3 linked regions of the Schizosaccharomyces pombe genome follow. The gene in region 1 interacts genetically with each later gene. Each region holds a gene or a part of one and is shown on either strand. Other genes may lie near its edges. The genes, in order: ufd2, vph2 and cdc48.

The links.
Region 2: mutations in ufd2 (region 1) and vph2 together harm fitness more than expected from each alone (negative genetic interaction), as found in Schizosaccharomyces pombe (2 studies listed by BioGRID).
Region 3: of ufd2 (region 1) and cdc48, a mutation in one rescues a mutant of the other (synthetic rescue), as found in Schizosaccharomyces pombe (one study listed by BioGRID).

The regions. Positions count from the first base shown.
Region 1 is NC_003424.3:2,123,195-2,134,518, forward strand, and holds ufd2 (ubiquitin-protein ligase E4), read left to right. Parts: upstream 1-5,246; 5' UTR 5,247-5,268; coding exon 5,269-5,286; exon of another isoform or gene 5,287-5,294; intron 5,295-5,328; coding exon 5,329-6,072; intron 6,073-6,118; coding exon 6,119-8,315; intron 8,316-8,355; coding exon 8,356-8,429; 3' UTR 8,430-8,519; downstream 8,520-11,324. Other genes in the region: rad57 (DNA recombination mediator, RecA family ATPase Rad57/Rhp57), read left to right, coding at 96-162, 258-1,255; whi2 (phosphatase activator), read left to right, coding at 1,798-2,610; gih35 (ATP-dependent RNA helicase), read left to right, coding at 2,873-2,963, 3,007-3,084, 3,133-3,197, 3,246-3,502, 3,539-4,310, 4,357-4,458, 4,507-4,675, 4,718-5,038 and 1 more; Rho family GTPase Rho5, read right to left, coding at 8,701-9,232, 9,351-9,421; family protein ICE2, read left to right, coding at 10,245-10,508, 10,588-10,902, 10,956-11,141, 11,182-11,294. UniProt on the Schizosaccharomyces pombe protein: E4 ubiquitin chain-elongation enzyme specifically involved in polyubiquitin chain assembly.
Region 2 is NC_003421.2:66,510-75,568, forward strand, and holds vph2 (V-ATPase assembly protein), read left to right. Parts: upstream 1-1,742; 5' UTR 1,743-2,021; coding exon 2,022-2,444; intron 2,445-2,507; coding exon 2,508-2,726; 3' UTR 2,727-2,970; downstream 2,971-9,059. Other genes in the region: RNA-binding protein Rnc1, read right to left, coding at 1-176; SPOM_SPCC757.11C (transporter), read right to left, coding at 3,132-4,547; aah1 (GPI-anchored glycosyl hydrolase family 13 protein), read left to right, coding at 6,974-8,851. UniProt on the Schizosaccharomyces pombe protein: Required for vacuolar ATPase assembly.
Region 3 is NC_003424.3:1,301,859-1,312,519, forward strand, and holds cdc48 (AAA family ATPase involved in ubiquitin-mediated protein degradation Cdc48), read left to right. Parts: upstream 1-4,586; 5' UTR 4,587-4,598; coding exon 4,599-4,654; intron 4,655-4,710; coding exon 4,711-7,084; 3' UTR 7,085-7,408; downstream 7,409-10,661. Other genes in the region: knd1 (cullin-associated NEDD8-dissociated protein 1), read right to left, coding at 59-3,684, 3,723-3,759; DNA-binding transcription factor, glucose starvation sensing, Rst2, read left to right, coding at 9,122-10,661. UniProt on the Schizosaccharomyces pombe protein: ATP-dependent chaperone which probably uses the energy provided by ATP hydrolysis to generate mechanical force to unfold substrate proteins, disassemble protein complexes, and disaggregate protein aggregates.

The sequences.
Region 1 (11,324 bases):
TCTATGGTGTGGATATAATTTTCATTTATCTTTATGAGTAAAAACTATACATATCATATTTACAATTAAAAATCTTCTTTCTTTCTACTATATGGATGGATATTTCGAATTATGTTGACAATTTCTACTTTGATGAGAAAATTGCTTCAGCATTTGAATTAGGTAAGCGTTTAGTAGTTCAATAAGCTTGCACATAAAAAAAAAATATTGGGTTTTTGTACCGGGATCTTAAAAGACGGAATTACTGACAGCTTTAGGAGAAGTAAGCACGGTTGATTTGTTAACGCTGGATATTACTGAGCTAGAAAGACGCACACATTGTAGTCAAAGTGAGTTATTACAGTTAATTGAGCAGATATCCCTCCTTCTTCAACCAGTAAGATGTTCTGCTTCCAAAGTCACTTCGAAATATTTGACAACTGGCGATGTAAAGTTGGATGAAACTCTACATGGAGGTATACCAGTAGGACAGTTAACTGAAATATGTGGTGAAAGCGGTTCAGGGAAGTCACAGTTTTGTATGCAGCTTTGTTTAATGGTTCAACTACCTCTCAGTTTAGGAGGAATGAACAAAGCAGCTGTCTTCATTTCTACAGAGTCCGGTCTTGAAACAAAACGATTATTTGAACTGGCGCGTTATTTACCAGAAAGGTATCCCAAAGCTGATAAGAAAGACATAATTATAAAAAATCCAGGAGATAGGGTGTATACTATATTATGCCCAGATCTGGAATCTCAAGAACATATCATTCAGTATCAACTGCCGATTTTATTCAATCGGGATAAAATTGGGTTGGTTATATTGGATAGTGTCGCCTCCAACTACAGAGCTGAGCTCCGTTACAACCGATCCAAAAGTCATTTTAGAGATTTAGATAATATTGCCAAACGTGGAAATCAATTGGGAAAGTTAGCTATGACTCTACGCACTTTAGCTCATCAACATGAAGCTGCTGTTGTCATAGCTAACCAAGTTAGCGATAGAATTCCTAGAGATTATGATGCTATTGGGTTGTTTAGTTTAGATTATCAATCGCAATGGTTTTCGGGATGGGATGACACAGATCCAAATCCCAAAATACCATCTCTTGGTCTCGTTTGGACTAATAACATCAGTACGAGATTAGCATTAATTAAGAAAACCGACTCTGCCACCAATAATTCGGGGAGAATCTTTCGGGTTGTTTATTCACCAAATTCTCCAAGGCTTGACGTACGAATATGCATAGGATCGGTTGGGATATATTCGTGCTAGCATTTTTGTAAAAATTTTATATATAATATAATAAAACCGGTTTATGAATTGCCCTAACTTTGTTTAATCGACTGTCGCTTATCAATCATTCGCAGAAAGAAAAGTAATGCTTTGAGTAACTGTTACATATATAAGTGTACTTATTTATCTTTATATTTATATTACCTCTGTCACTATTAAATATATATTTTGTTGATCTATGATGGTAGTGCATTTTTATTAGAATCCGACATACTTTAGTGGACTGAATTTTGGATATACCAGTTGGGTATTGAAATGGAAAAAAATACAATAAAAAGTTTTACACGTAACAAAGAATGCCCAAAGAGCTCTCTTAACCGACGAATGGCTTTTTCTACCTGTTTTTACTATTGCGCGTAAAAGATTTTGTAAGACCTTTCCGATAGCTTCCGCTATTGGCGATCCTTTAGAAATTTGCACCTAACATTTTTACCAAAAGCCAAGTATGCATTGGTGATATCTTGTAAATAAAAAATGAACATTCTTTTATAACATAATCGTTACAAAAATAGAACACAAAAATGTCAGTTCCAATTGATCGAATCAATACGGTTGACACTTTAGCCAATACACTGGAAAGTAATTTAAAGTTTTTTCCAGAAAAAATACATTTCAACATCCGGGGCAAACTAATAGTCATTGATCGCGTTGAACTTCCAATATTACCAACTACCGTGTTGGCACTTCTATTTCCTAATGGGTTTCATCTGCTTTTAAAACATGAGGGAGGTGATGTCTCATCATGTTTCAAATGCCACAAAATCGACCCTTCCATTTGTAAATGGATTTTGGACACCTATCTACCATTATTTAAAAAAAGTAATAATGCTTATCCCTCAAAAATTGCATTTAATCCTATATCGAATACTACCCTCGTTTTATTCTTAACAGAATGTTGCAATATCTATTTATTTTCTGAAAATAAAAAGCCCGTCGACCAAAAAATCAGGAGCGACTTATTAGAGCAAACTTTCAAGAACAACGACGTTTTTGAAAGTGCAGACAAAAAAAAAATCCGAAAAGGGCTGAGTGATGGACCGCTAGTTGATGCATTACAGCATTGTGGATTTCGCTACAACGATAAATGGGCCAAGAGAGTAAAGGAGCCAAAATTAATGAGCTTAATGTCGTATATCATAACAACAGTCGAGAGCTCCTCATTAAGCGAAGAATTTTTGAGTAAAATTTTGAAGCTATGGGGACAGCCAGGTAATAAGTGCTGGTGGATAAACGAAGTTATAAAAGTAAACGGATCTTTAATCAATGTTTGGAGGAGAAAGCAGTGGTTGTTGGAAGTTACGATTATGGGAAATCGTGAAAATTCTCAAGACTAAGTGTTTTAGTAAAAATAAGATTAAAAAACATTTTGCTAAGTTAGGCCGTGCATGCAGCCATTCTTTTAACAGATACCAATGTTACGAGGTTTCCCAGATTTTACTCAAATTGCGTGATAATTATTGTAGTATATTTATTTTGAATAATAATTTTTTATTTGAATTTTGTTAATACTGTTTTTTATAAATATTACAATACGTTCAATCTAGTTGTGGTAACATGAAAGTGCTTCCACTTACTTGATGCTCTCTACGCAAGAGTATGCCTAATGAGTTTATTTCCCAATCGCTTAGTACTCTTACAAATACACCCTTAAATATTCAGAAAAAGCTATTACCAATCACCAAATACAGTATGTAGCTGTTTTACCCTTACATTGCTGACGTTACATTTAGGAAACCAGTTGTTATATGCAGTAGAGCAAAATCAGATTACTATAGTGTTAGGCCACACAGGATGTGGTAAAACAACTCGTAAGTATTTTGATTAGATGGTTTATTAAACTAAAAATAATCTTGAAGAAATCCCTCAATTTTTATACGAAGCTGGATGGGCGTCCCAAAACGGTATTATAGGATGTACACAGGTTAGTCACAACTTTGTTTATTTATCATCCTCCTAACTTATTTGAAAGCCCAGAAGACTCGTAGCAAAGAGCGTCTCTGAACGAGTATCTTTGGAACTGAACTCTCCTCCTGGAAGTTTGTGTGGATATAGCATTCAATTTGATCATAACGTTTCTGAAAAAACAAAAATAAAATATATGACCGATGGAATCCTTTTGAATGAAATATTTTTTGATCCTTTGCTGGAAAGATATTCAATAGTCATTCTCGACGAAGTCCATGAACGAACTTTGTCGACAGATCTCCTACTAGGAGTTTTGAAAAGGTATTTAAATTTTCTATTCATAGCTGACAAATCAAGGATTTTAGAAAAGAGGAATGATTTTAGACTTGTGCTCTCCAGCGCTTCTGTTGACGCGAATAAACTGTCTCAGTTTTTCGGACAAGATAAAGTATGCACTATGTCAATTGAAGGGAAATTATTCCCCGTAGAAACATTATTTTTGCAGAAACCTACAGAAAATTACGTTGATTCTGCAATCGAAACGGTTATAAACATTAATTCAACCTATCCGCCTGGTGATATATTGGTTTTTCTTTCGGGAAGAAAAGAAATAGAATACTGTATAAAAAAGATTGAAGATTCCTTAATTCATGCTTCCGAAGACTGTCAAACTTTAGTTCCTTTACCTTTACATGCTGGTCTTACTGTTGACGAGCAAATGCGAGTTTTTAACATATATGATGGTGACTTCAGAAAAGTTATATTTTCTACGAATATTGCTGAGACTAGTATTACTATTGATGGCATAGTTTATGTCGTTGATTCAGGTTTTAATAAACAACGGATATACAACCCGTATACAAGGACTTCAAAATTGATTAACGTGCCTATATCTAAGTCAAGTGCTATACAGAGAAGTGGAAGAGCTGGAAGGACAATGAGGGGAAAGGTGTTCCGTCTATATACTGAAAAAGCTTACAGCTTGATGAAAGAAGAATTTGAAGCAGACATCTTAAATTGCGATATGTCACCGTTGGTGTTATTTTTGAAAGGTTTAGGGCTAAAAAACATACTTCAGTTTCCCTTTTTTGTCCGTCCTCCCACAGTTCACCTTATGGCGGCTCTAGAGGTTTGTGAATTTTATTATAGCCGGCAAACAACTAATTTTTTTGAAGGACCTCTATCTTTTAGGTGTCTTGGACGAAAGTGGAAATTTGACAGACCCACTTGGCATACAAATTTCCAACTCATTCTTGGATGCAAACATCTCCAAAGCTGTACGTACTCCCATATAGGAAATAAAGTACACGCTAACCCATCATTAGTTACTTACTTCCAACCAATTTGGTTGCACTCATGAAATTCTTTCAATTGCTTCAATACTTACAGCAGGCGAAGTATTTTATAATCCCACAAGTTCATCAAAGAATGATGCCTTCGTTGCCCATTCTTCTTTTTTTGCAAATGAAGGGGACATCATTACCGCATTAAATGGTATGCTTCATTAATAAAGTTTAAAAGTGTATTAACATTTAGTTTTTGAATCTTTTGTCGGTAACAAAAAAGATTTACAATGGTGCAGGAAAAATTATTTGAACTATCAAACTTTGCGCCAAGCCCTTGACATTCGCACTCATTTGGTTCGTTTTTTAAATAAATTTTCTATACCTACTGCTCAAAGATTACCATCCAGTGATTGTTCCAAAATTTTGAAATGCCTACTTGATGGTTTTGTGCGTAACGTCGCACATTTACAGAATGACGGCTCTTACAAAACAATAGGAGGAAAGCAGGTTTGGTTAGACTCTAGTAGTGTACTTCATGAAAAAAAAACACCATGGATCATGTATTCTTCAGGTAAGCCTATTTGTTATAAGACTATTTTAACGTTTTAGCTGTCGAATCAGAAACTCAAATATTCGTGAAGAATATTTCTAAAATAGAAAGTTTTTGGCTGGATAAATACTATAAACGAGAAAAATAATATATGTTAATACAATTTCATGTTACCGGTTTAGCATAGTAAGTTTTGGTAGTTAAAACATATGTTGACCTCACTTCCACCAACTTGCTCAATCCACCCCATTATGAGTGATTTGGAAAAGGTAAGAGAAAAATTTCAGCTAATTGCTAATATTGGCCCATAGATTCGTCTTAAAAGGCTTGCTAAATTGCAGCAGACCAATTCGGAGGCAAATTCTTCTAAAGAACCTAAGGAAAGCAATATTGCACCTGAACCTAAAAAACCTGATTTAAAAAAGAGATTTATTGGTTCAAAGGCTACAACATCAAATTCAGAACAAAAAGAAATATCTCCACCTGTTACATCTGGTGCTCCAAAACATCGCTTGTTTTCTAAGGATGAATGGATGCATTTTATAACATGTCAGGCTCTTAATATTACATTAAGTGAAACTGATTCATCAAAATACTATTTAGAAGGTTTTAAAAAAGATTTAGAAGAAGAGGGATCCCCTTTATTATTTAATGAGAATAATGTTGACTCTGCGTTACTCTCTCGACTGTCAACAACTGGCAACAATACTTTCTCTTATTTGTTACAGTCTTGGAGTTTTCTGTATCAGTATAAAAAGAGACTTCCGAAGGATGAAAACCAGGACTTTAAAATTCACTATTTATCTCTGTTAAAAAGTTTGCTTGTCAGTTATGCCGGTATTGTAGTAATGCTTCCTGACACATTCAATTCGGAGACAATTGATTTGGCCGAGGTTTTAATTGGTGCAGAAGGTATACCTTTGGAATTTCTATCAGAATTTGTTCAGAGGTTTGAACACGAAAACTTAGATGAATTGTTTATTCCTGTGTTGGAATCTTTATCTTTGAAAATTGGTCTTATGAATGTAGATACTGTTCAAATGAATGTGATGCAGGTATGAACATCAATTTTTATCTTTTAGCATAAACTGATATTTTTAGATTATATTACAACTTGTGTCATTAAAACCAATTGCATTACTTTTGCCGAAGTTGCCTTCTTGGAATCCTACGAATAATGCTGGAGAAATTGAGTACAAAACGTTTCTTGGAAGAATATCAAGCTTGTCAGTGTTTACTCAAGATGTCGCTTCTCGATATTTTTCCAATTCTACTGAGAGATCAGCCCAAAATATATCTTCGTCAATAAGTTCTTTAAAATTGACTATGTCTACTTATCAGGATGTCCTTTTTCAAATTTTCAATACCCTCATTCGAACATCTACATCTTTGAGAGAGTCTGTGTTGGATTTCTTTGCCATGGTGGTAAATGCCAATCACAAGCGACAATCCATTCAAGTTAATCATTTTGATATTACATCTGACGCCTGCATGCTAAATTTTTCACATGTGTTAAGCAGACTTTCTGAACCATTTCTTGACATAGGATGTTCGAAAATTGACAGAGTACAAGTTGAATATTTTAGGAGAAACCCTCGCGTTGATATCAAAGAAGAGACTAAATTGAATGCTGATCAAAAGGCTTCGGAATCGTTTTATTCAAAACCAGCCGAGGGTTCCAATAACTTTATTTCAGACATATTTTTTTTAAATCTCGCATTTCATCATTATGGTGTAAATGCTACCTTTAAGGCTTTAGAGCAACTTGTGCAATCAATTCGTGATAGCGAGAAACTGAAAGAAAGATTAGAGACTGAACAGCAAAATATGAGCGGTAGTTTTCAAGCGACACGTCTCACTGCTCAATTAAGTCGGCTTGATCAAAGATTGGATTTAGATAGATCGTTTGTGCACTGTTATGAGATTATGCTTACGCAGACATCTGATACTTCAAGATCATTTTCTTTTCTTAATTTCGTTGCCATTTGGTTATCGAGGTTAGCTGATGGTCAATCTTCGACATATCCAAAAATGCCGCTATCGTTACCGTTTAATGAAAATGCACCGGAAGCTTTCAAATGTTTACCTGAATATTTTATTGAAACCATTACAGATTATATGTTGTCTTTATTTAAAACCTCGTCGAGTACTTTGACGCTGCATTCCTTAGAGCCTTTGTGTGAATTTTGTGTGTCGTTTCTAACTCAAGCTAATTATATCAAAAATCCTTATTTGCGAGCGAAACTTGCCGAGATTTTATACTTTGGAGTGCAAACGCACGTGGGAAGATCAGAATTGTTGTTAGATGTTGTACGTACGTCGAAGGTTGCAACAAGGTGGTTACTTCCAGCACTTATGGCGTTTTATATTGAGATTGAATCTACAGGACAATCTACCCAATTTTATGATAAATTCAACATTCGTTTCTATATATGCGAAGTATTTAGAACTATTTGGAAGCAACCAGCCTATTTTGGTAAGCTGGAGCAGGAGCAAAAAACAAATTTGCCGTTTTTTGTTAAATTTGTAGCTCTCATGCTTAATGATGCTACATATCTTCTTGATGAGGCTCTTTTAAAACTAACCGAGATTCACAACCTTCAGAGCCTTTTGGCAGATGCAATAAGCAATAGCAACTCTAACCAGAATGTTCAAGAATCGCAAAGCAACTTAGCGGCCGCAGAACGTCAAGCTTCTACTTATTGCCAGTTAGGGAATGAAACTATTTTTATGCTCAAATTGTTCACTTCCTCAATTCCTAAAGCCTTTTGTGCCGTTGAAATTGTAGATCGGTTGGCAGCTATGCTAAACTATAACCTTCAAGCTTTATGTGGCCCTAAGTGTAGTAACCTCAAGGTAGAGGACCCAACGAAATATCATTTTAATGCAAAAACCCTTTTGTCGATTATTTTCGATGTTTATCTTAACCTGTGCAATGAACCTGCATTTGTCGAAGCTGTTGCTCACGATGGCCGTTCTTATAGTAAAGAAATATTTGAACGTGCGACTAGCATTATGACTAAGCACAACCTCAAGTCATCTTTTGATATAGAAGCTATTAAAGAATTTGTGAATAGGGTAGAGGCATTCAGATTGCAAGAGGCTACTGAAGAGGAAGACATGGGTGATATTCCTGACTACTTCTTAGATCCTCTTATGTTTACAATAATGAAAGATCCTGTTGTTTTACCGAGATCTGGCATTTCGATTGATAGGTCTACTATTAAAGCACATCTACTAAGTGATGCCACCGACCCATTTAATCGAACTCCATTAACGCTTGATGATGTGACACCGAGTAAGTTTTTTTTTTCCACTGTTAGTTACTAATTCTTTAGATGATACATTACGTGAGGAAATTAACACGTTCCTGAAATCAAAACGCAACAAACATTCGCGAAATAGTGAATGAATATAACTGTGTTTATACTAGTTTTTTAATGAAAGGCTTCGATAAGTTTAAATAAAAGATTAGACAATTAATTACTATGAAATATTTAAACATTCATGGAAACTCATTAGGTAATGATTCGAAGGATAAAAAACTTGGTGTACGGTACCACAAAGGTTAAGCTCGTAAAATAATTCCTTTGCACAAGAGGATAAATGAATATAGTGAATCTAACAATACAGAATGTAATTAATAGAACGCTCTTATACACCATAACAGAGATTGCATTTCATCAGAGTAAGATACAGTGCTTCTTCTTTTTTGTCTTCGGTACACTAGCAGGCTTAAATTTAAGCATGGAAGCACGAGCTGCAGTCTCAAAAACCTCATTGACCCCTTCGTTCAATTTCGCTGAACATTCGAGATACTTATAGGCGCCAATCTTTTGAGCTACTACCTGTCCTTCTTCAAATGTGATAGGCTTCTGTGAGGTTTTGGAGAGCTCTTCGATTGTTTTTGGATCGTTTCGTAAATCCACTTTACACCCAACTAGCAAAATGGGTAAATTGGAGCAGAAGTGAAGAACTTCAGAAATCCATTTTTCTTGAACATTGTCCAAACTCTCTGGAGCATCAACTGAAAAACAAATCAAAACGACGTGAGAGTCTGGATAGGAAAGAGGGCGTAAACGATCGTAATCCTCCTGACCAGCTGTATCCCATAGTGCCAATTCAATATGCCTTCCATCAACCTCGACATCGGCAACATAATTTTCGAAAACAGTAGGGACGTAAACTTCAGGAAAAGTTCCTTTGGAAAAAACACTAAAATAATTGTTAGTAGATTAATCGCTTTAAAAACACAATTGTTGTTTAGATAAATCAAATTCACATTTGAAAAGCTCGATAACAATGAATAGAATTTCTAAAAGGGCAAACGTACATCAACAAGCATGTTTTACCACAAGCACCATCGCCAACAATAACCAATTTACGACGGAGCTCAGTAGTCATAATGTCGAATAAAAAATTTCTTTTAAAATAAAAAATTGTTGCAAGTATATCAATAATTGGTTCGTGAACGCAAGGAATTGCCCGCTTTGAAAAAATCGATCTCAACTACCAATGTAAATATAAGGCGACTGATAACTCAAGCAACGAATAAATAGGGGGCAAAGCAAAAAGAAAATATAAGCGGCGTCTTAGAGTAATTTAATTGTAAAAAGAATTGTTAAAATCTATTCAATTGAACTAAATTTCAACTTTCCTTTTATAAATTTATGCAAACACACAAGTGGAGCAGCCCAGTAAAACCGACCTGATGGAAAAGATAGTAGTTATAGCTTTTTATTATGTTTAAAAAATCCTTTGGCTTTTATCTATACAATATTTTATAGTAAATTGCTAGTATACTTTCGAATTTTAAAACGTAAACAATAGGCTTTGGTGTGGTTACGAGCATGCTCCCCCTCTTCCAAGATACATACAAACCACGTATTGCGTTATATTGTCGTATATCTATTAACGATTAATAAGGAATATGAAAGAAGCTTGATAAGTTTCATTGCCTCAGCCGTTCAAAATTCATATAAAATTATTTAGCAAAACTCCTTAGCTACGGGATCAGTGCTACTTCATGAACGATTAAAACAGCACTGAATGTAAAAATTAGTGTTTATAGTTTACCTGTGAAGGATTTAAAATTATAGAAGAAAAAATAGAGTGAAGTAGTTTTCAGTTTGGGTTCTACTGTGTTAAAAAGATAGTAATTGTACAAAAATTGAAAAATCAACGTCTTGCATTTACGAATTTGACCAATTTTTAATAATTTTTGGCAATGGACCAGGAAATTAGGTCGAATAATTATGATATTTCGGTTTCGACAGTGGAGGACACGAGTTTTGAAGCAATGGATGATTCTATATTGGAAATTATTGATGATGAAGCACCAGAGATTCAGGGAAAACCTAAAGCAAATATATCAACACATTTCCGCAACATGCTAGCAATGTTTGGGAATTTCCTTTCCCTGGGGTTTTTTTTAGTCATAATAGTTTTAGTAGGAATCGCCTTTGAGATTGGCGGTCGGTTTTGCGGTTTGGTAAGTTTAGGAATGAAGTTATTTCAACATTTCTTTCTTTCTCTTTCTTAAAAAATAAACTAACATAAATTTAAAATAGATACTTACACTTGCACTAGAAGTATACTTTTTCTCTACTGCTTTGTTGAAGCTGTTTGGGCTTCGAAAAATTGCTTTAACATTACATTTCTTTGAACCTCTTTTAGTTTTTATTCTATTAATAATAGCCCTTAATGCATCACCAAGCATAGAGCAGAATAAATATGCCTCTTTTCTTGCTTCTGCTTGGAACACTGCTCTACTACACTTTACTCCCCTATTTAATTTGCTAGAAGGAATGGCGTCGCTTTTAGTTGTACAAGCTCTTGGCCATCTAAGCCGTTGGTTGGTCCATAATAAGTCCGAAAACTGGATGGTACGTATATTTTATACTTTTATTTATGCCTACGTTTGTTAACTTAAACGCAGTTCTTTATTTTGCTTAATGCTAGTAGTGCCATATCAATGAGCCTCTATCTCCTCTATCGTGTATCTTCTTTTTCTATCTCCAATCCTAATGCATTAATGATCGGATTTTCCCTTGCAACTGTGATTGTAATTTCTATTTATGGTGTTGCTTCTGGACGTGCAAATTTATCTGAAGCATCGCTAATGGTAATTGTTATTTCCTTATTTCTGATTTTAACATATTTAGTTTTTGTATATTGCATACACCGTATATATGGTTTGTACTGATTTTGGCAATCCAAACACTAGTTCTCTTGAGAAACCAAAGTTTGATTATCTTCCTCCTAATATACTTCAAAGGTAAGTTCCAACATGTTTTACTTATTCACT
Region 2 (9,059 bases), on another chromosome or scaffold:
GAACCGTTAGTAAGAGTCGATAGAGGTGTAGAGGGCTTTGGAGTAGGTATGGAAACTTTAGCAATGCCAGTAGCAGTAGAAGTGGTTTCGTCGGGTTCGTCTTGAAACGTTACGTCAAAAAAAGAGTTCTCTTTTTCCTCGATGTTTTTAGGAATGCTGAAGTGATTGTAAGCCATAGATGTCACTGGAATAGTATTGGTTAATTGAATAGGACACATATGCGTTTCTAGGAGGAGAGTAGAACCTTTTCTAAATTACTTCCTGAAAACTGATTAGTTCAAACCTGCAGGGATTTAGCGGAGATTAAAAAAAAAAAGGAAAACGGATTAGGCTCCTTCTAAGCTCTTATTGCAGTTTCTTATAAATTGAAATTGCAATCAATAGCTGTGATTACTTCGACAAAAATGAAGTAAACGACCAAGGAGAACGGAGTAGTGGTAAACGGGGTGTAGCAGTGACAAAGAGAAAATTTTCTGCAAGTAAGTCTTTTGGTGGGGAAATAACGAAGTTTGAAGAACGTATAGTAAAGTCGCACAATTTACTGATAGGAAGTGGTAGCGTAGCTTTACGCCTCAGTCGTTATATCTTTGGAAGTGAAAATGATGAGATTAATAAATGAGAAGAGCATTACAAGAATGGGTTTTTTAAATAATCGTAAATTTCCTAGCTAAAGCTAACGAATGCTGCCAAGTGAAATATCATTCTTTTAGTCAATATAGCAGGTATTAACGTAGTTGTTTTCGTTGGCCTTTGCTTCGGTATATAGGATAGCGTGGTTCAAGCGACTTTGTAAGATCAGATGAAAGATAAAGGGCAAAAACCTAAATAGCGTCCATGCATCAGTGGAACTTTCTTTCTTCAGATTACGTTATATGGTATAGTGAGCTTTGAAAATCGTTGAAAAAATTCGAATTTAATGGTGCAGAGGCAAAGACGATATGGACGTTCGGAAAAATGAAAACTATACTGGAGGAAGTTATCTTTATTTGATTCTGTCTTCGTAATTAAGCTTCCTTCAGCTTCGAACTTTTCATTTCCTAATTCGAATACCTATTTGTTCACCCGTACCTCTTTAGGTTTATATTTGTTCTTGCAAACTGTTCTGCGGCGATATGAATTTTGCTACCCCAAAGTTTACGTAAGCCAAGTTTGTCGTAAATAAATTCGCAAAAAAAAGTACTTTGGATGGTGCAACATGGAAGAATTGAACGCCGTTGAAACGCTGGTATTTTTGAACATGAAGTATCTCAGTATTCAACCCAAAGTCATAAAAATTCTTGAACCTTTAGCTTTCCAAGCGCTGAATGAGCATACTGGGACACATTTTGAAACCATAGACGCAAGTAATAATTGCGTAAGTTATATAAAACTCATAGAGCCAACAAAGCTAGTAGCATTTACTTCTTAATATTATATTGAAATTCCAATAAATAATCTTTGAATATCGTTTGTATGAAATACCCGAGAGCAATTGCGGCGCTAAATTAAACTGAATGTTCAGTTACCAAGATTTATGTCACTTCATAGAAAGATATAATATCACAGTAGCGTGTACCATTCTTCTATACCTCACTGAACGAGGAAGTCTACAATTCTGCTTGGCCTAGCACAGTGTTAGCGAGGGTGAAGAATAAAATTATGATGCTAATTACCAAAACGGTGATTTCAAAAAAAGTTGAGGAACTTTCATATTTTCATTTTTTGCCTCTTATAGGACGCTATGTATTACGTTGCGTAACTTTGACTTTTGCAAATACTTGGATGTACCACTGTCTCCATGTTTGTTTGTTGGTCAATATAAAACGTAGTATTAGACATTAAAATATTGGTTTAATTATTTCATTTAGAAAACTCAATAGAAATTTAGCAAATATCGTCAACCAACCTAGATTGATCCTGTTTCACGCAATTCGGACTATATGAATCGTTTTTGATTGCTTTCTAGACTTCATAGCATTATTACTTACCCTTCTACTTTTTTAATACCTTCGAAATTGTCAAATTGACTCATTATTGCAAAAATGCTGTACAGGCTCTCCGAAAAACAGCAGACAGACTTACGGTGTAATAAATTAACTGTCGATGGATTTGAGCTGGTAAAAATGTTAAAGGAATTACGATTACATAACAGGAATATCAATTTTTTGGAATTTCTTCGAGGTGTACAGATTGTGCCGAGCGACAGTGTCTTCTTGGGCGAAATTGATGAAAACAGCCATACTCAAGACAATACAACTACTTCTATCTTAAAGGAGAAAGAGCTATATGATGGTATTCCTCTGCTTCCATCAATGGCAGGCGTATCCATGGACCCTGAGAGAGAAAAAAAATCAGAGTTACGACTAATGAAAAACCAAATCAGCGCTATAATCAATATACTCTTCACAGTAGTAGGAACGGTGACCGCTGTTTGGTACTGCACTTCATCTTTATCTATTGAAAAGGTATGAATTAAAAACTTTCGTTTTGTTCCTGGGAGACCTTTGTATTGACTTAATATTATTTAGAAAATTGCGCTATGTGCGTTTTCAGCAATCTTGGTTCTAGTAGCAGATACGTTTCTTTATGTCCGCTATCTATCTGCACAACCCGTACGAACTTCAAAGAATCATACTCGACAAATAATATATACATGGACAACAAATGACCCTGTTCTACAGTCAAATGAGCAGCTAGCTATAGAACTGGGAGCCATTCCATCTTTGAAGGAAAAAAAGAACCAATAATTATATTCTTAATTTTTAGATGTTTTATTAACGAAAGTACCTTTGATGTTTTCCTGTAGATGATTTTTATAGGTTGTTTGTCTAATTGATCATAATGGCATACCTCTCTATGTGTTAATTGAAGGGCAGGCACCTATGGGCACACTATAGATAAAAAATAAAAAGTATTTAAGATAAAAAATTCGAACTCATTTGGCTTTTAACGTATATTTCATCAATTAATTTCATTATAATTAAAGATTTAGCAACATTATTTCAATTTAATTAGCCATTTGGTATTAGATTTATTTGTAAGGAACACAACTTACAAATTTATAAATAAACAACAAATCAACCCCCCCTTGTAAAAAAATTAAAAAAAAAAAAAAAAATAGAGAGCAACCTAACCATTGAGTTACCAGTGAATTATGCAAGGCGCAACTTGACCTTAAGTTTCTTCCATATAATCAATAGTGCAAGCACAGACATAACGTTTAATATTAAGCATACCGCAAAAAAAACAACAGGTGAGAACGAGCGAAATGCACCGCCAAAGATAGCACCAACTGTGTCGGATAAGGAAATTGATATTTGCACAGCGACGTTACCTATCAGGTGGTACTTAGGATGTAAAACCTTTGTCAATAAAGAGACCGAAGGGGAATTAGCAATAGAAGATCCAAAAAAAACAAGGGTGTAAATAATAAAGTAAGGTTGTACGAATTCCTTGCCTGTATAGTGAATAGTTATATGAATAACCATGCATACGATGTTTAAACAACAACCCAACAATATGATATCTCTGTCAGTCAAGTAACGCGTCAAATAGGAAAATATTAAAAGCAAGGGTACGTTGATAATTCCAGCCAAAGAAAGGAAGTTACCTGCTTGGAAGGATGAATAATTATAAAGCATAGAAGTGTAAATTGGAACAGATGCTTGGTATGCATTTAATAGAAAGTAAGCAGAGAAGCCAGAGAAAGCGACAACGAAAATAACAAGACACCCCACAAATCCTAGTTTTGAATTGGTATCCTGTTTGACATCATTAATGACATGCTTCTCTTCGACTACTTCTTCCTTTACGTCCGTTTGCGGGCTCAAAACCTCCCGGAAACAAGCAAAGCCAAACAAAAACAAGCCTACCCAAATGAAAGCCATTAGCCAGTTACCCGAAGTATATTCATTCCAGATATCGCTTTGAGACTTCATTGAAGACTTGGCCATTAATCCTCCGATGAATGGACCAGCTGTCAAACCAAGCGTTGCCATGACTGAGTTGACCACACCCATCGACGTTCTATATTTGATGCTGATCAAGGCTTTATCTGTGAAATAGCGCTTGTGGTATAAAAACATGGTACACGCAACACCCGTAAAAATACGACTCACAAGAATCAAGGCCACACTTTTGGCTTTATCTGCGAGTGCATACATGATATGACCAATAATGCAGCTTATACACGACATTGTATATGGTCTTCTATAAATCGTATATCCCTTGGCAGCTTTCGGAGTCGAGAATCTCAACATGGGATACAGCAACACAAGGGCAGTGATTGTGGGCAATCCGATAATTACACCGGACAAACCATTTCCTCCCCCCAGATGTTGGACAAATCTCTCGGACGTAGGAACGACAATGGTGAATGAAATGCAAAGAATTGTGTTATTTAACAGCATCAAAGCCGCACTGATGAACGGTGGTTTATGCGTAGCAGCCGGTGAGGCAGAAGGGTCATTGGAAACTAATCTTACAGATTGCTTGTATCCCGACTTTTCCTTTTCATCAAGAAAGGATGAGACCGAGAGGTCTTTTTCTAAATTACTTTGTTGCTCCATAATATAGACTCAATGGATCCATTCAAAAACCTGCTCTACTACGAAAACTGGCCTGTGGAATAAGGTATAGAAGGAACGAGAAAACAAAGAGAAATTCTTTGTTGTTTTCAAATATTTTGGTGTGAGTAAAGGAAGAAAGTGGAATTTCAATAGAATAGCATGACTCGTTTATTTTATATGAGATCAATTTTTTTAAGTTGATGATATCCGATAATTTTCATCATCGTATAGAATGGATAAGAATTCCCAAAATAGGATATCCACGGTGCTTCCCTAATTAAGCTTTCCGTAGTGCGGAGTATTTTACCATATATCAGTCATTAGTTGTACGGCTACTGTACTAGCTCACATGGTCCAGTGGTTAAGACTCATCGTTGTGGCCGATGCGACCCAGGTTCGATTCCTGGTGTGGGCAGTTTATTTATTTGTTCTTTTTTAAATTATTAATTACTTGTATAAATAGGAAATAATCAGCGAGAGCAAATAGTACAATTCAGTTATGGCAAGTACAAAAACGCAAAGATAAATGCAAACGTAGAAACCGGTAGACATGATGGTAGAAGGAGAATAGAATTATGATAGGATATGATGATAAGTATCGAATAGAAATGTCTTGCAAAGTGTGTTTGGCAGATAAGCCCATTTGAGCGGTCGAATATTTTATGCTTTTTTTCAGGGCCAGCCGGCAAGATCACCTGTCTATTTGTCCGTTGGCAGTAAGCGTTTGCTCAAGATATGGATGCGCTTCAGTACTTGAAGATTTACAGACTGTTCGGGACGGAAAGACTCATGACTGTTCGGGTCGATCATTTTGGCTACTATCCGTCTGTCTATGATAACCAGTGTATGCATGGAAAAAATGTATCGTAAATCGTTTAATGAGAATAGGGCATAAAGCGTTATTCAACGGATGAAGAAGGAAACTTGACAATGGCGATGTTGAAAGACAAGCTATGTGAGATAGCAGATTGGTTCCTTGCAGTACACCAGCCCCTACAAATACTATGATTCTTTTAACTTAAACATCCTGCTCAGTTCCTTCTAATCAATACTTGGTTACACTAGTTTTTTGGCATAATGAGTTCTCAAACATGCTTTACAATCTCTCTTACATTGTACTATGTATGATGAAAATCCAAGTTTTGCATATTTCGCCTAGTGCACACTGCCCACAACCTTTTCTCTTGCACACGTAGGTGGCTATGAAAGAGGATCGTCTGTGCGCCTCATAAATATCGTTATTCAGCATATCAAGTTTTTGCAGCAATGTTTCATACGACGCTCAAACATCCTACCTAGATATTGTTTTTTTGAATTTATAGGCCAAAATAGAATAGAATGACAATTTGCTTTGTACTCACCAAGTCCGCGCTTGTGATTACTTTGTAATCATATATTTATTTATTTATTATTCTTGTTCTATTGTTTATTTACTAGTGACCTCATCTTCCTTTCCTGAACATCGCAATGTTTCCTCATCTCTTCTTCCCTTTCCCATGTCCTCGTTCCTAAAGTTAAAATCTTTGTTTATCGACCTATTATTAATAATCGGTAAACAAGTTTAACGCTTGTTCTTACACCTTTTTATGTGTATTTACAGCCGCCAAACGTGGCTTATTCAAAGCCCCACTTGAGAACCAATGCGAGCGCATCTGGAAAAAGGGCTATCGGTAACAAACAGTCTCATCTTACGTCAGCCTAAATCCGCCGAAGCAGCGATCGGCCTCGTGGTTGTTACCTAGCTGCCATGGCGATATTTGTTTACATTCGTGCTCGCAGTCATATAAATAAAAGATCCTCGCTACACTACTGAACCTCTACACATCTAACATTTTGCATATTTTTCTAATATCCTCCCTTTAGTAGGCTATATCTAAAGGGTTTGATACCCGTTCTTCATAACTTTTCTTTTTCTATCTTTTTTGTTTCGTTTTTTTGGTTTCTTTTGCGTGCCAAATTTTTGGTCTTTTTGATTTTGCATTTCATTTCTATTTTTCTTGGTTTCCCCATTTTTTGGTTTTGTATGAGTGTGCTCAATCAACTTGTCAAATAATTTCCTCATCGCATACCATATTGATTAACTTTTCCTTTTCTTTTTTTAATCGTTTTTTTTTTTGCATTTACATTCCCACTTGCCAAACCGAGAATATATCGCCCGGCGTTTGATTTTGTTTCCCATATTTTCCTCTTCGACACGAGCCTTTCCTTGTTGCCTTCTTTTGTTTTTTGTTTTTTTTGTTTGTTGAGCCGTCATTTCTACAAAACATTCCCTTTTGCATTTTTCATCGCATATATAGCCTAAAAGTTATCTCTCAAAGTGCCATCTATTTTTTGGTTTCTTTTTTTTTTCAGATTATTCTTTTTTAATTTGAATTCTCCCTTTCTCTCTCTCTATTTCAATCACTTCCAGAAAAATTAGCAGAAGTATGGGGTTTTCTAAAATAGCACTTTTTTCTTTATTCGCGCTCTTCGGCCTTCCTACCTCTCTTGCTAAAAGCAGTGAGGAATGGCGCGACCGTATCATTTACCAGGTCATAACTGACAGATTTGCCGTTGACTCTGATAATACACCCGATTGCTCCTTCGATGATAGTTCTTATTGCGGTGGTACATGGAGCGGTATTCGTTCTAAACTCGACTACATCCAAGGAATGGGATTCAACGCCATCTGGATCTCTCCTGTCGAAAAGAATCTTGAGGGTTCTTACGGTAGTGATGGTGAAGCTTACCATGGTTATTGGAATACCGATTTCACTCAATTAAACGAGCATTTTGGTTCGGAGGATGATCTCATCGATTTAATCACTGATATGCACAATCGTGACATGTGGATCATGTTTGACGCGTTGGCCAACTCAATGGCCATTCCAGGACCCACCGATAACATCAGCTACTCGAATCTTGTGCCTTTTAATGACTCATCCTACTTCCATCCTTACTGTTGGATTGACTATGGCAGTAACAATAATACAGATATTGAGGATTGTTGGACTGGTGATGACAATGTCATCCTTGCCGATTTAGACATTGAGTCCACGAATGTTGCTGATTATTTGCATGAACATATTCACGATATGGTCGAGCGTTATCAGATTGATGGAATTCGTATCGATGCAGTTAAACAAATGAATCCCGAATTTTTCCCCAACTACACTTCTGCTGCTGGTGTTTTTGCTATTGGCGAAATGTTTAGTTACGATCCCAATGTCTCTTGTTCAGTGCGTAATTATCTCGACAGCATTACCAGCTATCCCATTCGTCAAGGAATTGAATTTGCATTTAATTATACTGGTGCTGCATTTGAATATCTTCAGGAGATTGATACGCAATTCCAGCAAGCTTGTGAGGGACAAGATATGTCGGTTATCGGAAACTTTTTGGAGAACCATGACCTTCCCCGTTACACCTCTATTACCAATGATACCTCACAAGATATTGGCGCCATTGTTTTCCTCCTTCTGCATACTGGCATTCCCATTATTTATTATGGAGAAGAACAACGCTTGCCTGGTGGCTCTGATACCCCGGAAAACCGTGCCGCCTTGTGGAATTACGGCTATGACACTGATGCAAATTATTACCAAACCATTCGCACTGCTATTGCTCTACGAAAACAAGCTATAAGTGACAGTGATTCTTGGACCACAGATTCTCACTCTTATTTGGACTACGATCTGCGCCATGCTGTGGTAAGAAAAGGTGATGTTTTGGGAGTTTACACAAACTACGAGTCAAGTTCTGACAACGTTACTTATGATGTCTCCTCTAATTTTGATGATGGTACTGTTTTGCGCGAGGTTTTGAGCAATACTACTACGACCGTTGGCTCAAGTGGAGCATTGCACGTTACTGTTGTAAGCGGTCTACCTCAGGTCTATTATCCTGAGGCTAGTTTGACTTCCTTTGGAAACTTCCTAGGAACGGCCACAAGTTATTCTTCTGCCTCGGCGAGCTATCCTTCTACTTCGATGAGTGCTTCGCTTTCATCTGTGCATACATCATCTGCCACATCAAGCTCCAAGTCTAGCTCTAGCTCTAGCTCCAGGTCCGGCTCTAGTTCAAGTTCAAGCTCCAGGTCCGGTTCGACTTCTTCTAGCGGCTCTAGCCATACCATCACTTCTACTTCTCAAAGTGTGCACACGAGTGGATCGTCGACATCTACTAGTAGTGTAGCGGTCACTTCCACGGCATACAGTAGTAGTTCTAGCTCGTCTTCCTCAAGCAGTATTGAAAGTTCTGCTAATGCTGTTCGTGTATCTATCCTTGGCGTTGCAGCATTCATTGCTATCGTTCTATTCATTTAGTTAAAAAAATAATTTTATGGAAATCTATCTTTTGCATCTTTAATAATCTCAACGCATGCTTAAACTTTCGTATTCGCTACAGTGTTACAGTGTCTGTTTAAGCTTGTTGTTTTTGCTAACTATAAATCGTTTCATCACAATAAAACATCATTTTTGCACACATTCAATAAAACTAGTGTGTAGGTGCGTTTACGCGTAATAGTCTGTA
Region 3 (10,661 bases), 820 kb from region 1:
TGTAGGTAATCAAATGCCAGTAAAAATTCAAAGGGAATTTCCAACATTATATTCAAATTCAAGTTTTAATTGTAGTTTTGATTTCGTTCTTTATTCCCTCATATTCCAAGGAGTAAGGACCCTTTTGAACTTGACTTTCGAATTCAGAAATTACAGGATTGTCGCACTTCAACTTCATTGTAAACAAAACTCTCAAAGCAGAACGAACCAAATCAAGGATATTATCGCTATCTGTCTTTAAAGTCTTTTCAGTTTTTCTAAGCTCTATAATTTTTCGTAATGCTTCCAAAATAGTGTCTACTTGCTCGTCTATAATTGAAGGGCTGCAGTCGACAAGTTTTTCCAAGATTGACAAAGATACTAGCTTAATATAATGTTCATCTTCTAACCCCATGACAGAAACCTGTAAAAAATGGGTTAAATGATTCAAAGATTCAGGGATATCCAGTAAGGAATAAAGTGTTTCAAATACTAGCTGCCGTTGATTTATTGAATTATCAACCACATGTTGGAAAGGGCCCATTTGTACAACATGAACGTTACTAGAATCAACTGATGATTTGGAAATTAAGCCTTGTAAAAGTTCATTATAAACGTCTGCAATGCAAGAACGCCTATTTTTTATCACAGATATTATGACCTGCAACGTTTCTTGACTAACTTCGAGGTCTGGATTTTGAAATAGCTTATACGCCTTTTCAAAAAATTGTTTCTCATAAGCTTTCAGTTTAGGACAGTCCAATGTCAACGAAAAACGAAACACCGAAAGAGATAAAAGCATATGATTTGAAGCTTCACTGGAGGATAAAAGTTCTAGCTTATAATATAAGCTAGAAGATTCATTACAAATTAAAAGACCAAGACATTCAGATAAAAGAGTTCTGAAGGGAGAAGTGGAAAAGTCTTTAATGTTTTCAATGTCCTTAGAAAGGATATCCCATATTTTATCTGCTGTTTCATAATCGATTTTTGATTTCTTAAGAAAAGTTAAAAAGGAAATTAATAAAAGTTCTTTATCATAAGCATCTGAGACGTATAAAGCACATAATTCTTTTATGAATTTTTCACTTTGACTAGTAAGCGACCCTAAGGCAATAGCTGCTGCTTTCATAACATCTGCATTCGGCGAGTTTAAATTACTTGCAATCGTATCAAAGTACTCATTTGCAGGAAGTGTTAGCTTCCCGTAATCAAGCTGTCCAAAAATTAAAGTTGTGAAAACTTTTATCCGTACTTCTGATTTAGGACTCATAAAACTTTTATTCAGAGACGTAACAATGGCCTTTGATTGAAAAATACAAATCAGTTGTGCAGCAATCAATGCCAATGTAACCATTTCTTCAACAGGTTTTTGTGCACAAGTGAAAGAATTAATAATCAACTCCAAATCTTCTTCTTTCGAAATAACAGCAATAATTCTGCTTAGCAAACAAACGGACTCTTCGTTCAAATGTATGGTTGATGATTGCAGATGAGAAATTATAGTGTCTATTAGTAAATTTTTTGATTTCAAAAGGATACTCAAAGGTATGATTAGCAAACATTTTAAAATTGCAACCGTATTCTCAGTGTTTCTTTTAAGAGTCTCGATCAGTAAACCTAAGATATGTTCAAGCAAGCTTTCAGCGAGATATTTTTGTCCAACTTTCAAGAGCACTTCTAATAGTTCCAAATAAGCAGTCGTAAATTCATTGCCACTTTTGTCGATATGCCTACAGCAATCCTGGAGTATTTCTTCATAAATTTTTGTTCCATTTTCTATCTTAGTAATATCTGTAACGGACATGAAAATATCACATAACGCTCTTGCAGCAGCACTTCTAGTGGGCTCTTCCTGTAATTTTTTACATAAAATAATTAAGACACGTCTCAGGAATATAGAATCAAAATCAGGCTCATAGAAAAGAATTACGTATTGAGAGACCAGATCTATCAAAGCTAAACGAACTTTCAAGTCAGAAATTTTAGATTCCAAAAGTTGAAGTGAAGAATCAATCATTGTGGAAAAATCTGTTGAGACGTTAGTGGGTTGCTTTTTATGAATATATTTGCAAAATGACAGCTCAGTAATTAAGGCCTCGTATGAAAGTTGTGGGTAGTTGTTTTGTACCGCTAAACTTAATATAGTTGACATTTTAGATTCCATGTTTTCTATCTCTTCGCAGCCGCAAGAAATGATAGCTGATATTAAGCGAACTAAATTCAGCTTAATTTTTATATCAAGGGTTGAAAAATCAGGAAAACGGTATATAATTGAGCTCAGATTTGAAAATTCGGACTGAACACCAAGATCTCTTGAAGAAAAAATCACTGTAACTAGGTTCAGTAATTCAGATACAATGGAAAGTGGAGTTTTATCAGATAACTTAGAGACATGCTTTCCAATTACAGACACTAAATAAATAGAAGTATCCGATATTGCTGAACGGTCCGATGGTAACCCTTCATAACGACGCTTTCTATCATTAGAAGTTGCATACACCTCTATCCAACGAGGAACATGCAAGAATGCTTGTTTTAATACTTCGATAGAAATCAAGCAAACAGATTCCTCTCTATCGTTTAACTTACTAACCACAGAAGTCCCTAGTGCTTGAAGGACTATAGGCAAATACTCTAAACGTGACAAAATTACAGACAAAACGACTTTCAAAGATTCTCTTCTAACAATCCAAGATACATCTTCTTCATCTTCGTAAATGCTGCTATAGTCACTCATTTCTTCGAGAAAGTCAGCGATATCATCTTCATCATTAGTATCAGATATTAAATTGGGATCATAAGAAATTTTAGAGATTAAGAGACCATGTAATTCTGGCCAAATTTTCAAAATATTCACTTGTTGGTACTCTAATAACAATCCTAAAACCTCCAACAATTTTTGCGTTAACTCATCTGGGGCTTCTTCCTTCTTTAATAACGATAATATTTTATTGGTGTAGTCAGCAACTGCTGTTGAGATGAATGATGTAGATGAATCTTTTTCTTTTTTAGATGACAGAAGTATTTCGTTAAGCAATTTAATAGAAATATTTACCTCGGACATTTGGGTCGAGGGTCCCAAACCTCGATCAAGCACCTCAATTATATATTTGTATGCAAAGCGAGGCCCATAAAGTGATACGTCAGAAAGGAGATAGCAAGCCTTTTTAATAATTAATTCTCTTTGGCATTGTGTCGTACATTTTTGGAATACGTCTATACACAATTCAAAATTGTTAGGTAGAAGAGTCGAAAGATTAGAATGGTATATTTCTAGAGAATCACAGACCACACAGAGAATTGCAAAAAATTCCTCTTGAGCAACGTTGTACTGTTTTAAAATTTGTAAAAATGAAGGGAATACAGTCGAAGTATAAAATTTGTTTACGAAAGGTTGGACGTTCGAGTTGGACAAAAGCAAACTGAGAGCAGACAAGTAATTTTTCGATTTCTTCCCAGCAACTCCAGAAAGCAAATTTTCAACAGTAGATTTTAACTTATCTTGTGGAATTTTGCTAGAAATTATAGCAACACAACGAACTGCCTCTTGTTGAACCTCTGGCGAAGCATCACTCAGTGCTTGTAATAAAACATCGAGTGTATCAGGAAAGCTCTCCAATTTGAGATTTTTCAAATGGTTTGCATCATTAAGTCGGGCAGCTAAATCGCTGAGTGCCATGTAACGTATGTCTTTATCGCTACCTGCAACAGTTAGAGCTAGTTTTTTATTTTTAACATACTTTCAACGTATTTTTTTAATAAAATTCCCTCCTCCATTTTACAATTGATTAATTTTTATGGCCACTAAGGTAGGGATTCAGCAGTTTGTACAATGAGCCTGACAGCGTGTATCATAAAGGATTCCACACCATAAGCCATATAACGAACAGTAAGTATGGATATTTAAAACACATTAAATTCCTTATTAAAGATTGAACTAATTTTATTATTGATTGTGCAATACAATCAATAACCATAAAAGAAGAATATTTGATTAGCCTTAACTTACTGCTAAACACTTTTACAAAACGCTTTCTAGAAAATTGATGTTTATAGTTATAATGATAAATAATATTGCAAGGGTTTCAAACTAAAATATTTAGCTTACTAAACCGCCAACCAAGTTTCATTTCAATTGAAAACGGATAACACTCAAAATGTTTATTTTATGCTTAGTAATGAAGTTTTAAGCACATTTAGATATAGGGCGGTCGTTCGAATTTTTGCATTTCTGTAGTTTAAAATTTCCTCGTAGATTTTACTAGAAAATTGTTTACTATTGATGTTCTTGGAACATTCTAATAGCAACGACGTTTCCTTGGTAAAAGAAGAATAGATAAATTAAATTTGGCAATTTATACAATACGTGTTTTCTAGAGATGCGTTAAATAAAAACAATCTAGCGAAAATAATGGAAATTGGTAGTAACGACCTTGCGAGGCAGCTATGTAGCAGAAAGACTCAACTGCTTACAGATGTTATTATACAGAAAAAAAACAATTAGAAGAATATTTAGAAATAATTTACCTTTTTGAGCAATAATTTCATGTATCTTTATAAATTGAATGCTCATATATAAGCGCATGGTGCATGGTCGAATGAACGCACCATCCACCATGACCGATAAGAAACCAGAAGTGGAACACCTTCAGGGTGAAAACCCTCCAAAAGAGTATGTTTTCGATGTAGCAGTAACTTTTTTTTAGAATTCGATGCTAACAAGCTCAGTACATATAGTGCAGAAGACACAGCAACAGCTATTCTTCGTAAAAAAAGAAAACCAAATTCTCTAGTGGTCGATGACGCTACCAACGATGATAACTCAGTAATCACATTGTCGTCCAATACCATGGAGACTTTACAACTTTTCCGTGGTGACACAGTTGTCGTTAAAGGAAAGAGACGGAAAGACACTGTCTTGATTGTTTTAACTGACGAAGAAATGGAAGATGGCGTAGCAAGAATTAATCGTGTTGTTCGTAACAACTTGCGCGTAAGGTTAGGCGATATTGTAACGATCAATCCTTGTCCAGATATTAAATATGCTGAACGAATTTCAGTACTACCCTTGGCTGATACCGTCGAGGGTCTTACTGGTTCTCTCTTTGATGTTTACCTTAAGCCGTACTTTGTTGAAGCGTATCGTCCTATTCGAAAGGGCGATCTTTTCGTTGTACGGGGTAGTATGCGTCAAGTTGAATTTAAAGTTGTTGATGTTGCTCCTGATGAATTTGGCATTGTTAGCCAGGATACAATTATTCATTGGGAAGGTGAACCCATTAATCGTGAGGATGAAGAAAGTAGCTTGGCAGAAGTTGGCTATGACGATATCGGTGGTTGTCGTCGCCAGATGGCTCAAATCCGTGAGCTTGTCGAGCTTCCCCTCCGTCATCCCCAATTATTCAAAAGTATAGGTATCAAGCCACCTCGTGGTATCCTTATGTATGGTCCTCCAGGTACCGGTAAAACTTTAATGGCTCGCGCAGTTGCTAATGAAACGGGCGCTTTCTTTTTCCTGATTAATGGTCCTGAGATTATGTCAAAAATGGCAGGCGAATCTGAGTCTAATTTGCGGAAGGCGTTTGAAGAAGCCGAAAAAAATTCCCCTGCTATTATTTTTATTGATGAGATAGATTCTATTGCTCCCAAGCGTGAAAAAACGAATGGTGAAGTTGAACGACGTGTTGTTTCACAATTATTGACTTTAATGGATGGTATGAAAGCTCGTAGTAATGTTGTAGTAATGGCCGCTACCAATCGTCCTAACTCTATCGATCCGGCATTGAGACGTTTTGGTCGTTTTGATCGTGAAGTCGATGTTGGTATTCCTGATCCCACCGGCCGCTTAGAGATCCTTCGTATTCACACAAAGAACATGAAGCTTGCTGATGACGTTGATCTTGAGCAAATTGCTGCTGAGACTCATGGTTACGTTGGATCTGATTTGGCATCTTTGTGTTCTGAAGCTGCCATGCAACAGATTCGTGAAAAGATGGATATGATTGACTTGGATGAAGATGAGATTGATGCCGAGGTTTTAGACTCTCTAGGTGTTACAATGGATAACTTCAGATTTGCCCTTGGTTCCAGCAATCCTTCTGCTTTGCGTGAAACCGTTGTGGAAGTTCCCAATGTTCGTTGGGAAGACATTGGTGGATTGGAAGAAGTTAAGCGTGAATTACGTGAAACTGTCCAGATGCCTGTTATGTATGCCGAAAAGTTTTTGCGTTTTGGTGTCACTCCCAGCAAAGGTGTTTTGTTTTTCGGACCCCCTGGTACAGGTAAGACATTGTTGGCGAAAGCCATTGCCAACGAATGTTCTGCCAACTTTATTTCAGTAAAGGGACCCGAATTGCTTAGCATGTGGTTTGGTGAGTCTGAATCAAACGTTCGTGATATATTTGACAAGGCTCGTGCTGCAGCTCCTTGTGTCGTTTTCTTAGATGAGTTGGATTCTATTGCCAAAGCACGTGGCGCTTCTGCTGGTGACTCTGGTGGTGGTGATCGTGTTGTCAACCAACTTCTTACTGAGATGGATGGTGTTAACAGCAAGAAGAATGTATTTGTTATTGGTGCTACCAACCGTCCCGATCAGATTGATCCTGCCTTGATGCGTCCCGGTCGTTTGGATCAATTAATCTACGTTCCCTTACCCGATGAAGAAGCTCGCTTCAGCATTTTGCAAACTCAATTGAGACATACGCCTGTTGCTGAAGATGTTGACTTGCGTGCAGTTGCTAAGGCGACCCATGGCTTCTCAGGTGCTGATTTGGAGTTTGTTGTACAAAGAGCTGTTAAATTGGCCATCAAGGACAGCATTGAAGAAGACATCAAGCGCGAAAATGAGACTGGAGAGGCTCCTGCTGACGATGTTGTTATGGACGAAGATGCATCTGTGTCTCAAGTTCAGCGTCATCATGTGGAGGAGGCCATGAAAATGGCACGCCGCTCTGTCAGTGATGCAGAAGTCCGTCGTTATGAAGCTTATGCCCATCAACTCCTTACCTCGCGTGGTCTTACAGGATTCCAGTTTGATTCGGCTGATAGTAATACTAATGGACCAAGCTTCGGAAATGATGGTGCTGATGATTTGTATGCATAGAAACTACCACCTTAATGCATGAATTCTATATCCGATGATGAACAAAATTTATGTATGAACATGGACTTGCCTTTTTGTTGAAGTCATTTTTGTAAAAGGTGATTGATTGATTGATAATAATGACTTCTCTGCTACTTAACATGAGTTTGTAGGGATTCTTAAATTTAGTCTTTGAATAGAACGAATTTTTTTTTATGAGTAAGAAATTCTTGAACGCCCAAGTCTAGTTTACTACAGCATACTATTATGTTGACTGTTGTGTTTAGTTATAACTTTTCGTCAGTTTTTGCAAGTGTAGAAATGTGCATTTTCACACGATTCACATAACGATCGGCATATAGATAGAAGCCAACCCGGAGATCCAAGTGTTAACCTAAAATGTCGTTATCGAAATAGTAGCATATTTGTATGTGTAGTTATTTTCAAGGTGAACTGCTACTATGCTAGTAGTGTGCTAGCGATGTTAAGTCTCTTCGTGGAGGCAACGCCCCGTTAAATCTACTGGAAGAGCTAAAACTGGGATGTTCCACTATCGACCACAACGAGTGGACGATATCTGCGAGCTCATGGACATGTTGTTCGGCAGATAACCGTAGTTTGACCCTACCCCCACAAAAGTATGTAATGTCGATTCAGAATTTCCACATGGTGCCTTAAGCATCGTTACCTGTGTTACCTGGAAATATTAGGTTATTATAAAATTTGTTTAGTCGCGACAACGACATGCATTAAACTGACAATCCTCCATATACATGAGTGAGATTGAAATTATTTGTTAAGAAAGAGTTTTGACGGATTCAGAAAGTTTGAGTAATTAAAAGTATCAAGGTTTTTACTAGAAGTCAGTGAAAACATTCAAAAACGATTAATCGTCGATATCCGGCTTTTCGCCACTTGACCAGTTAGTAAGCTTAGAAAGGAAAGAGAATCTTTTACACTAGAAGATTTTTACTTCTAAGTTGCAATAACTTCATTTATTCGAATTGTAAAATACGAGTTCACTGCAGAGTTTCAGATCATTGAAGATTATTGCACTAAAATTCGTTTTTAAGTGTTAAAAGCTGATTTGTTCTTTACAATTCGCATAGGATACACTTCATTTATCATTCAATTTTGGTTTTTCCTTTGTGAAATAGGAAAACCGCAAAGCGTTTGTCTGTTATTTTATATTTTTTAGTTTGGATGTATAAAATTGACATCCTTAACCAATCTATCAGACATTTAGTATATATGTTATAGGATTCGTTTTTTGTCCTTCACGTGCCTTGTTTCAGTTATTATTTGACTGTTAATTCTTTCTCCTTTCCTTACATTTCCGATTCTCCTCTTGACGTACATTGTTTCGACAATACGTTTCTTATTTCCTAGTTAGTGTCTAATTCTATTTAAAGTGTGGATGGCGTTTATCTTTTTGAAATTTATTTTCCAGGCTTTTTTTGAAATAGACTCTTCTGAAGTACATTAAGTTTTTCAAGTGTCTTTTCTTGTTTATCTGTGCTATTACTGTGTGCAGGTTCAATCGATTGTTTTTATTCTTTCTCTGTCTATTTTACCGACCTTCTTTCCTTGTTGTTCTTCGCGGTGGCTTTTTGTTTGATTACACTCTTTTTTTATCCCCTTTAAAAAAAAAAAGTTTGGCATCTCAACAGTTCTCCTCATATTTTCCTTCTTCAACTACTTTTCTCATCTCCCTGTTGTCCTTAAGAAATATTTAACATATTCTGTTGCTTTGCTATTAACGTTATTTGGTAAAATTATTTGGCAGATTATATCTTGCTTATTTTTGCCTACCTGTATTTCTCTGACAAGTCAATTTTGATTTATTTAGCTATTTCTTTTTTCTGACTTGTTGATAACTAATTTAGGATCTTGCATTTCATTTTCGAAAATTATTTTGCGGTTTTCGTTTTTAGTCTTTTTGAATCCTGATTGCAATCACTTTCAAGCTTTATTTCCCTTCATATCTTTTATTTTAACAACATATTCTTCTTTTGAAAAATAAGAAAATAATTGTTTAATTTGAAAACTTGTTTTATCATGACGCGTGAGTCTTTAGCACCGATAGCCTCGAAAGCTAATACTTTATCCGAATCAAAAGTTTCGGAAAACTTGATGTCTATTAATTCCGATTCTGGTACCTCTAATGCTAATACACCCAGCTCTGTTACTTCTAATTCAAAACCTGTGGCTTCTTCTACCGCTGCTAAAAAGGACCCTAATGCCCCACCCCAGAAAGTTAAACAATATGTTTGTGAAACATGTACACGCGCTTTTGCTCGATTGGAGCATCTTAAACGACATATCAGATCTCATACCAACGAAAAGCCTTTTACTTGTAGTGAGATTGATGGTTTACCTACAGGTTGTGGTCGACAGTTTTCGAGGCGTGATCTTCTACTTCGTCACCAACAGAAAATCCATAGGAATCCACAACCTCGAAGAAGACGTCGTTCAACAACGGCTTTACCCAATCCTTCTCTTTCAAATGTTTCGGTAAGCACAACAAATTTAGCTTCTAAACCTGTTATTTCTTTACCTCAGGCAGATTCCATTGACAAATTTCGTTATCCAAAGTTGCATGCCGCACTACAAGCGCAGCTTGCGAACAACTCAGGTTCATTTTCTGCAAGTTGGTTGCAAGCCCAACAACAAAGGCTGGTTTCTGCCGGTAATGGGAGGGAAACGGTAAATGCCTCTGCATCTGGTGCAGTAAATCCTACATCTTCTCAATGGTCAGATCAACGTCTCGGTGTGCCTTATGGACCCGACAGTCCTTTGTACTATCGTAGGGCAACCATTGCCAGCGATTTGAGGCCTTCTGTTTATCAACACCCGCAGCTTTATGACTTTAATAGACCTGAAAGCCTTTCAGGTCAATTAGACGATGAAAGTTTGGCTAGAATGCCGTATTCACCTAACGCCGTTTCACGAAATTACGCTATGAATATGACACTTCCTGAATCTATTCCTGAAGGGTACGAGATTGATAAATTGGATTGGATGAGTTTTAGTGAGTCTTTAAATCTTCCTACTTTCAATCAACCTAGTGGCCCATCTGATGTTTCTGCTTCGTTTCTTAATCTTCAGGCTATGCCTTCTCCTCATGCTTCACCAAAAGATTCTTTGATCAACAAATCAAATAGTTACTTTTTTCAGAATCCTCCTAAGAGTAATTCTGTGGATTATACTCGTCTTGATAATCTCGAACATATGCGTCAGTCTTGCATATCGCCTAGTGGCACTAATTTTTCACCGAGCTGTTATAGCCCTGAATCTTTAATGCAGCAACCATTAACGTTGAGTCCTTCTTCGATCCCTTCTGGATTGCCCACATATGCACATGTTAATTCGCCATTAGGAACAGAGCAATATCCATCTGAAGCTTATCCTCCAAAAGGCTATGTTGATATGGAAGGAAGAATATCAGAAGGCATCAAAGAAGAAGGCATTTCATTATCTGAAGAAATTACCGATAAAGATCAGGCCTTCGCTTCGATGGGATATTTTGACTCTTACAATTTTGAAGGCGTTGAGAATTCAAATTCATTGAACAACGAAGGGGATCAAATGGAGACTA